Linked DNA regions of Nothobranchius furzeri. The protein of the gene in region 1 interacts with the protein of each later gene in a biochemical or structural test. Links are inferred from orthologs where the notes say so. Each region holds a gene or a part of one and is shown in the gene's direction. Other genes may lie near its edges. The genes, in order: apex1 and mutyh.

Region 1 (4,447 bases):
CTTCAAACCCAATCACTACAGTCATGGTAGCTGGAAAGAAAAAGCACAAAATACTCTGCATGAGATGCAAGACAGTTCCTTTTGCAAGTGTTAGATAATTATTTTGATCGGAGGCATGGCTTAGTTAGGTCATGTCTTTGTTGTTTATCTATCCAGTACAAAAGTACGCAGGAGTGTTTTTCTTTTTACACAATCAGACTAGATGCAGCAACACCAATGCTTTTCATATCTTGTTCATTTAAGATGAGATTTGTGATGCACACAGATCTCTACACATTTCCATTTACTGATCCAATAGAAATGTACCATGCCACGAAATGGGGAGGGCTACGCTAAGGATGCATGAGGAGATTTGTGGCCCTTTTGACTGATGATCATGGAGGTGGGGGGCTCAGGGGGTCACATTGTCTTGTTTGTACTACTTTCTATGTTTTATTTTCTATAAAAGCCAATGTAAAACCAACCTACTGCATAATGGTCATTTTTGGGAATGTACCAGGAAGACTGTTACCGGTCTTCCTCTCCTGGAAGTAAGAAACCAGGATCAATAGCTGGAGAGGATCCTGACATGAAAGGAGCTTTCTACAGACCTCAACAGTAACCAGGTACAGTATCTGAAATGTAAAGATGCTAATTCATTCAGCCAAGTGAGAAGAAAAGATTCATAAAAATACTTTTTTTTAATTTCGTATAATGCCTTTCAAGATAAAACACACACACACACACACACGGCAATCCCTCAAGACGAAAATCAAATCAGAATTTTAACAATGTAAGATTTTTTTCTCATTGAGGTAAAACCAACCTTTGTCTCTATACGTGTTTTTTTAAATAAATTTACTTGTCAAAAACTCCATATTTCATATGATGTTTAACAGGTTTAATCATTCTGTAAAAAAAATCATAATAGGGACTTTGTCCCCTAGTTTAGCAACCGAAAAACAGATCACACTGGTTCCAGCATAGTACATTAATCAGTCTTGCATTAGGTACTAAATATGTGCAAAGTTTAGTTTGAGTTCCAGAACAAAAACTGCTTTTTTGCTCAAAAGCAAAGAAACATCTGGCAAAAGGATCCAACAACCCAGAAGCAGCTAACATAATGAAAGCTATAATTGTGTAATTCCTAAAACCATTAGCTACAGCTGCACACTCAGCCCACAAGTTACGTAATTAAATAAATAACCATTTACATATTATTAACCCATTCTAAGAACCTGTTTAGAGGATCATTCTGAACAGAATTGATCAGAAAAGTTAAAACAAAGCTGTGTGGCAAACGCCTACGTTAACTGTCACGCGAGCGGTGTATATTCCAGAGAATATTTACCTCGTTAATAAAGTAAAACAAATAAACTTTAAACGGTCTGCTTCTCCTTTACTTTTCGTTCCAGTTGAACATTTCAGCTCGGTTAGCTTCTGCAGCTCCGATGACCCAAATATTGCGCTGTTAAATTCGCCTTATAATAAAGATCTTTCGAAAATATTTGTCCACACATCGTAATAAAAAAATACAAATTTTTCAGCTGAGTGGAAAAAAATATTGAACAAAATGCTGTATTTATTTCTCCTAAGTTTGGGGTGAAACCTATTGGTAATTTTTCAGGCATATTTAAGGGCAGCTACCAAGTCCAACCAGCACGTGCCCTGAAGAAAATCGTTGTTGTGTGTGGGGGAGTGACTGGAGCGGCGTTTGCTACTAGGGTTTTGCATCCTGTTGTTACAAGTAAGGTTATTTGCATCTTCTTTTCCGGAAATGCTGTGAAAATGAGACTTTAATTTAAGCACATTTGCATTTGTTGGCAAGTCGTTGAAGTTCATTTGAAGCCTAATTTGCGATTCGATTAATCTGTCATTCATTCATGGTGCAGGCCGCCTGCTGCCCTTTGTTATGGAGACACGCTAGCCTTAGCACAGCGTGTTTTCAGCTACACTTGTGTTGCACAGACGCGTTTCCCAATATGTTTTACCCTATATATTTTACAACTGTATTGTCAAATATATGAATATTTTTATTTACCATAAACACACTTAAATCAGCATTGTCCCCCATATTTTTAACCATTAAGTACATTTAAAACTTCAAAACCTCATTTCCCCTTTACGCATATTTTAAAGGGTCCTGCTAAAACGCACCCGCGGAGTTTAAAGCTGCTGCAAGCAGGTTTTGAAACAACCTTTAGGTTTCAGCTTTATGTTGAAGTTGGTTAACTCCACAAAACCAGGAAGTCTTCTGGTTGTAATGGGAAAGTGGCTCGCTGCCAATGGCTACAGTTTGTATATAGAGTTAATATGAAATAAATAAAAGTGACGTACAGTAACTATATGTGTAACAAATTGTGCGACAGGGTTCTGAGGTCTGCAACCTATATGGTAGAACCACTTTGACCTCATATTAAATACGCCACACAGTCTGATCCCTAAAATAATGTTTACAGGTTAAATAAATAATGATAATAAAATAGGTTCAGAAGCGCAGTTGGTTATTTCTCGCCTTCACAAATAACTGATGTTGATTTCTTTTGTATTGAAAAGCAAACTTTATTATGAGGTCAACTTTGTAGGAAATGATGGGGAAAAAACTACTTATTCATCATTTTTGTGTCATTCAGCTGTGGAAACTGTACTTATTGCAGGAAATTGATTAAGAGCTATATCTATCTTTGATGTCATCTTAAATGCAAACATTACTCAGGTTCATGTCGTTTATGGCCAAGTTACAAGGAGCCGGTTCAAAAGAGCTAAAGGTCGGAGTGTGGCTCCAAAGCCACAGGTTGCAGACCCATGCTTTGGGGCAGGGCCATGCCATCCTGGTCCCTGAGGGCCCCAGCGTGCATGTTTTCTATGTTTTACTGCACCAACACACCTGGTTTGAATCATAGGGTGATCAACAGGCTTCTGAAGAACTTAACATGCTGTAAAGAAGGCAACAGCTAAAACATGCAAGGCAGTGGCCCCGCTTTAGGGTAACAAACTTTGTCTTTAGATTTGTGTAATAACCAAAAACATATGGTCGTTATTTTTTAAGTTCAAAACCATCTTAAAGTGAAAACCACTCCGTGTTGCACTTGATTGCTGCATTCTAGAGTTTTGCACCCTAATTCTGTGTTTGCAGCGGCGTGTGTGCTGCTGCGTGTGCGTGCTGTGTGTCTGCAAGGTGTGTTTGCCGTTAGAACAAGTTCCAGTATGAAGAGAGGCAAGAAGACAGAAGAGGCAGCTGCAGAGGGCGAGAATGATGCCGACTCTGGTACAACAACGCTACACCTACAAATCTGCTGTTCCCTTTGAAGAAAATAAAGATCTTCAACGCTCGTGATTTTTTTTTTTTCTCGTTTCTTTGTGTCAGCTTCTACAAAGAAAGCAAAGAAGGCTAAAGAACCAGAGGCACCGGTGTTGTACGATGATCCTCCTGACAAAATGACCAGTAAAGATGGCCGCAGTGCCAACATGAAGATCACCTCCTGGAATGTGGATGGGCTGAGGGCATGGGTGAAAAAGAAGGGGCTTGATGTGAGTTAGAGAAAAAGTTTTGCTGCATGAGGCTCATCATAAACAATCTGAAGGTTGACTTTCATTTTCCCAGTGGGTGCGTGAGGAGGCTCCAGATGTTCTGTGCCTCCAGGAGACCAAGTGCTCAGAGAAAGCTCTTCCCTCTGAGATCACCTCAATGCCAGAGTACCCCTACAAGTACTGGGCTGTGTCAGATGATAAGGAGGGATACAGTGGTGTAGCCATGCTATGCAAGACTGAACCTGTCAAAGTAACATATGGAATTGGTGAGTGAAATGTTTTCTCTGGATGAGGACGTGTTGGTTTGGTAACATATCTCTTGTGTGATTTTAGGAAAAAAGTCACGTTTCTGGGAAAAGGTAAACAAACAGGTTGTATGTTGTGTCATTTCTGACATTTGGGCTTTGGAAAAATAAGAAGTGATAAATACAAATTTATCTTTTGAGAGAGCTGGAAAGATTCTATTTTTAAAGGGATACTATGCAAATATTTCATATTTTAAAATCATTCTTGAGCCAGTATGTGCTAAATTGACCCTTTACAGCAGGGCTATTCAATTCTAGGCCTGGAGGGATGGTATCCAGCATGTTTTGGTGGTTTCTCTGCTCCAACACATTCAATTCAGTGGTTGAATCACCTGCTGATTGAAATCAGGTGTGTTGAAATAAAGTTAAAACTAAAATGAGCTTGAATATCCTTGCTTTACAGGGTTAATGAAATATCACTCAGACCCCACTGCCCCCCGTGACCAGAATACTGCACTTGCAACTTCAGTGGGGCAGGCAGCTTAAAACTTAAAAACAATTGAGCGGACATACCTGCCTCTGCAGTCTGCTTCCAGCACGTTTCCTGCATGTTTTAGATGGTGAACACAGCTGATTTGTTACATATAGTGATGAACAGCTCCTGAAGAAACTAATGAAGGCAGAGGAGACAT
Region 2 (4,572 bases), on another chromosome or scaffold:
ATCAACCAAGTTAATTTTAATTTTATCTGGAAAAACAAGGCACACTATATTAAAAAGGCTAATTTGGTTAAAGATGAGGAAGGTGGGATTAAAGCTTTATATTTCGAGTGTGTTAATGGTACAATAAAAAATAACTGGCTAAAACATTTTTGTTTAAAACAACAATTTCTGGTTTCACATACCAAACCAAATCTTTAACAAACTCAGTGGTATTAAATTTCTTTTAAGGTGTGATTATGATCTGAAGAAGCTCCCCATCAAGCTGTCTTTATTTCATCAACAGGTACTTATGTACTGGAAGATGATTTGCAAATATAATTTCAGTCTGCATGATACTCCTCTCTAGAATTGTAGATGCATCACCTCAATAAATAACTCAATATTTTATCCAAACTGATTGGAAAAGGATATCTGGTCTGTTTTACACTTGTTTGATAACTCTGGAAATCTGTTGTCTCATGAACTATTTAGCTCCAAATTCAAGTTGACTGTCAAGGAACAATATCAGAAGGTTATAAAAGCAATTCCAAGTCTTGTCTTGTCAATCTCCTCTAATTTACATCACAATAACATTAGTCCAAAGCTTCCTGAATTTATGCTTAATGAATGTTCTATTACTGAAAAAAAGTTACCCAATATTGTATTAAGACAGTTATTTATTCAAGAGCTGCATCCATTCTTAGCCAACAGATCATTAGCTTCTCATCTACAATCTTGTGAAATTGAAAAAAAAAAAGCAAGTAGGTTTTTTTTCAAGCTTCCAGTTGCTCCAAAGATGAAAGAAATGCAGTTTAAAATTATGAATTGCGTTTATCCATCTGGAGAGCTTTTGAGACACCGATTTAACTTGGAACATAATGGCTGCTCATTTTGTAATGCAGACATAGAAACCACTGAGCATCTGTTTTTTGACTGTGAATTTGTGAAGACTTTTTGGAGTGAATTAGAGAATTGGTTGGCTTAGAGGCTATGTAATCCACCAAGACTTTCTAAAGAAAACGTGTTAATCGGTTGTTTTACTGCCAAGGACAATATTTATATTGCTTTAAATGTTATAATTATCCATGGAAAATTTTACATACGCAAATCCGTTATGCAAAAACTTGCCTTAATTTCATTGGATTTCATAAATAATTAGTATATTACTTCTCTTCTTTGGAATTCATGAAAGGCTCCAAAGCCTACGCTATGAAGAAATACAAACTAAATGCTAACCCCTAGCAAATTTATTGAATGATGTTTTGCACTTTATTAGTTGTTTTACTTTCATTTAGACTATTTCACTTAATTTGCATTTTATTTATATCATGTTTGTTTATTATTTATTTTCTTTTTACTCAATTTATTTCTCTCGTCTGCTTGTATTTCCAGTTAAGAATGGAATATTGTAATGTGCCATGTTTTGTTGATTTCAATAAACCGATTTAGATCCCTTCTAACCAATCAGAGGCGAGAAAGGCGGGATCATCCTTGGACATCTACGATTCCAAATGACGCCCACAGCGCGTCTACGTCCGTGCGTTCATAGATATGTATATATATAAATATATAAAGATATGTATATATACATGTGCGTGCGTAGACCTGCCGACCGGTTATGGCGTCACACACTTCCGTGTTTACTTACAGCTGATTGGCTAAACGCTGCTTTTTTCCTTAACGTAGTGGCGGGAGGCCGGGAGCCAAAACTCCGCTCTGGTTTTGAAGAGTAACAGCGATGGCCATTACTGAGGGGAGATTGATAATGAATGGGTTACGTTCAGCGGTATCCAAGGGCAAGAGAGGCCGGATGGGGACGGTAGAAACATCAGCCTCTACTCGAAAGAGGTCCAAACAAGCAGTTAAAGAAGGTACGTTCTAATTTCCATCCTGGTAGGCCACTATCCAGCGTGTTTTAGTGGGATCCGTGCTCTAACACACCTGAATTGAGGAGTGAATGTCGTGTTCTGTTGTACACGTCTGATCATCTGCTGTGTGAAATCAGGAGTGTTGAGGCAGAGAAACCTCTAGTGTGCTACACAAACATTCACATAAAGGCTCAGTCATAAGCTCCATCCACTCAGCTGTGTTGAGGCAGAGAAACCTCTAGAGATTTGACTTATGTAATAAGTTCAGCTTGACCCATGGGTTACATCTGACCCAGAAGTTTCAGCGACACGATTCGAAAACACTTTTTAGAATTGGTAAATGTGTTTTGAATTTAAAATGCGTTTCTTCCAGAGGACACCACGCCCCCAGTGCCACAGTCTTCCTTCCACACCTTCTCTGATCCTGCTGATGTTGTGCAGCTGCGCTCCCAGCTCTTGAGCTGGTATGACAAAGAGAAGAGAGAGCTGCCGTGGAGGACTCTGGTACATCCAGGAAATCTTGATTTTTAATACGCATTTGTTTATTAGAGAGAATAGACATTTTCTTGCCATTTCAGGATATGGTAAATGTTATACTAAAGCTGTAAAGGCAAATTTGAAAAACACATTATCTTAAAATATTTTTTCATGCCTCTTGACAACATTCTAAAATAGTATAGCTAGTAATATATTGTGGAGAATAAAATAATAATAATAATAATAATAATAAAGAAAGTGGTTCTCTCCCATTTGTCTGCCAATAACACGTTTTGGACCGAAACAAATTATTTGACCATCCGATTGTCGGTCTTGCTGAACCGCTGCACTTCCCTGCGTCCTCAATCCGTTACTGGTGTGAGAAGTTCTCCGCTCAATAACACCAGAGAAGGATAAACAGCTGGCTCTACCAGTTCAACTTTAGGACAAACTACCAGAGTCCCAAAAAGAAAAACACCATTTAAAGTCACGGACAATAAAAGACGTTTGGGCCTAGAAAACAGCGACTGGTGTTTAGCGCTATCTCGTTTCCTCTGGCGACACATCTCAGGGAGATACCCGAGGGGAGTGGTGAATGTTCCGTGACTGTGTTTGCGTTGTTATTAGGGATGTGAATCTCACGATTTGATTCGATTCGGATTTTTGGGGTGCCGATTCGATTCAGAATCGATTCTCGATTCTCAATTCTCTATTTAAATCGATTCACAATCAGTATTAACGAGTGTCAGCTCCAGGACTAACTACTTTGTTGTACAAGTTAGTTAAAGCTATAGGACGTTTTTATTTGACTTTAAACTGGTCATGCTCCAAAAATGCTAATTTACAATGTAAAATAAAGTGATTCTAAAATTGTAAACAGAAGCGATCTTTTGACCAAAAGGCAACATTTATTTTTGCTTACCTTGTAAAATATAACTAATCTGTAGTTACCTAACAGTAGCATTGAAAGTAATACAGTCAAATACTTTTCAAGTATGTATAGAAACAAGTTACATGAGTAATCCTGAGTACTCATCTATCAACTTAGAAAATAAATATGAGAATATCTCAAATTTCTGAGTATGGAAAAAATAACATTCAAGTGCCCTCTTATCAGCAGATTCAAACATAAATCATCTCAATTTATGGGAGCCCAAAAGTAAACGGAGTACTGACTCCCCTAACAAAGATAAAAAAGTGCATCTCAAACCTGTAACATGCCAAATATTTCAGTTCTTGGAATCGATTCTGAACCTTTGTGAATCGATTCTGAATCTTTATAAATAAGAATCCCGATTCAGACTCGAATGGATTTTTTTCAGCACCTCTACTTGTTATGTAGATTCGCAATAACAGCTTTAAGTGAGTTTTAAAGAGATGGATTCATTTCAGGGTTCTTGTTTCACAGCAACATTTCAACACGAAGTCACAGTAAAAGCTGCTCGCTAGTCAAAATATTCATCCTGTTATAGACACTTACTTTAGAGCATCTATAGGATTATAATCAAATCCATCTGCATCATCCAGTATTCAAAATAAGCTTACAGTGTTCCTTTTGCATATTAGACCATCTCCTGGTTATTTATAGAAGTGACTGTACAGTATAGTTTCATCTGAAAGTAAAACCCAGCCTCTGTTTTTGGCAGGCTTTGGCAGAGTCGGACATAAACATCAGAACATATGCAGGTAAAAACACAGTCTACAAAAAAGAAATGAATGCCTGAAATGCTCTACGTTTCCCTAATTCTTCACACAGTGAAATTTTTATGTTTGTTTTAGTTTGGGTTTCAGAAATAATGCTGCAACAGACTCAAGTTGCCACAGTAAAAGAGTACTACAAAAGATGGCTGAAGGTAAATATTTGCCATGTTTTCAGTACTTGATCTATGTGGTGGGTTATGAGATGTTTTCTGGAGTAAGTTTTTGCCACATTGCTTGAAATACTCTTCACATACTGGTGCTAACTGATAAATTCAATGTTTTGTCAACAAAAGGAACCTCATACAATTGTTGTGCACGTCCCATTACTAATGACTGGATCATGATCTGTCCATCAAACTGTCCTTTCACAGTCCCTCCCCCTGCTGCACAAACCCCTCTATGTGCACAAAAGTCGTGTTTGCAGCTTGGAGCAACTGAACAGGAAGTGAATCCAGTCCTGTGCTGCCTCGGACCAGAATGTTCTGTTTGCGATTGCAAATTTCATTTAAAGAGCAAGTCACCCCTTACCAGAGTCTAACTCCATTCT

The links.
Region 2: the proteins of apex1 (region 1) and mutyh form a complex in vitro, tested with the Homo sapiens proteins (3 studies listed by BioGRID and IntAct, with this or other methods). The link is inferred for Nothobranchius furzeri from reciprocal best matches to the Homo sapiens genes APEX1 and MUTYH.

Annotation. Positions count from the first base shown.
Region 1 is NC_091741.1:57,621,632-57,626,078, reverse strand, and holds the start of apex1 (DNA repair nuclease APEX1), read left to right. Parts: upstream 1-1,633; 5' UTR 1,634-1,726; intron 1,727-3,115; 5' UTR 3,116-3,186; coding exon 3,187-3,247; intron 3,248-3,346; coding exon 3,347-3,510; intron 3,511-3,583; coding exon 3,584-3,776; intron 3,777-4,447. Other genes in the region: osgep (tRNA N6-adenosine threonylcarbamoyltransferase), read right to left, coding at 1-25.
Region 2 is NC_091748.1:53,458,711-53,463,282, forward strand, and holds the start of mutyh (adenine DNA glycosylase), read left to right. Parts: upstream 1-1,560; 5' UTR 1,561-1,717; coding exon 1,718-1,850; intron 1,851-2,220; coding exon 2,221-2,351; intron 2,352-3,970; coding exon 3,971-4,010; intron 4,011-4,103; coding exon 4,104-4,177; intron 4,178-4,572. UniProt on the Homo sapiens protein: Involved in oxidative DNA damage repair. Initiates repair of A*oxoG to C*G by removing the inappropriately paired adenine base from the DNA backbone. Possesses both adenine and 2-OH-A DNA glycosylase activities.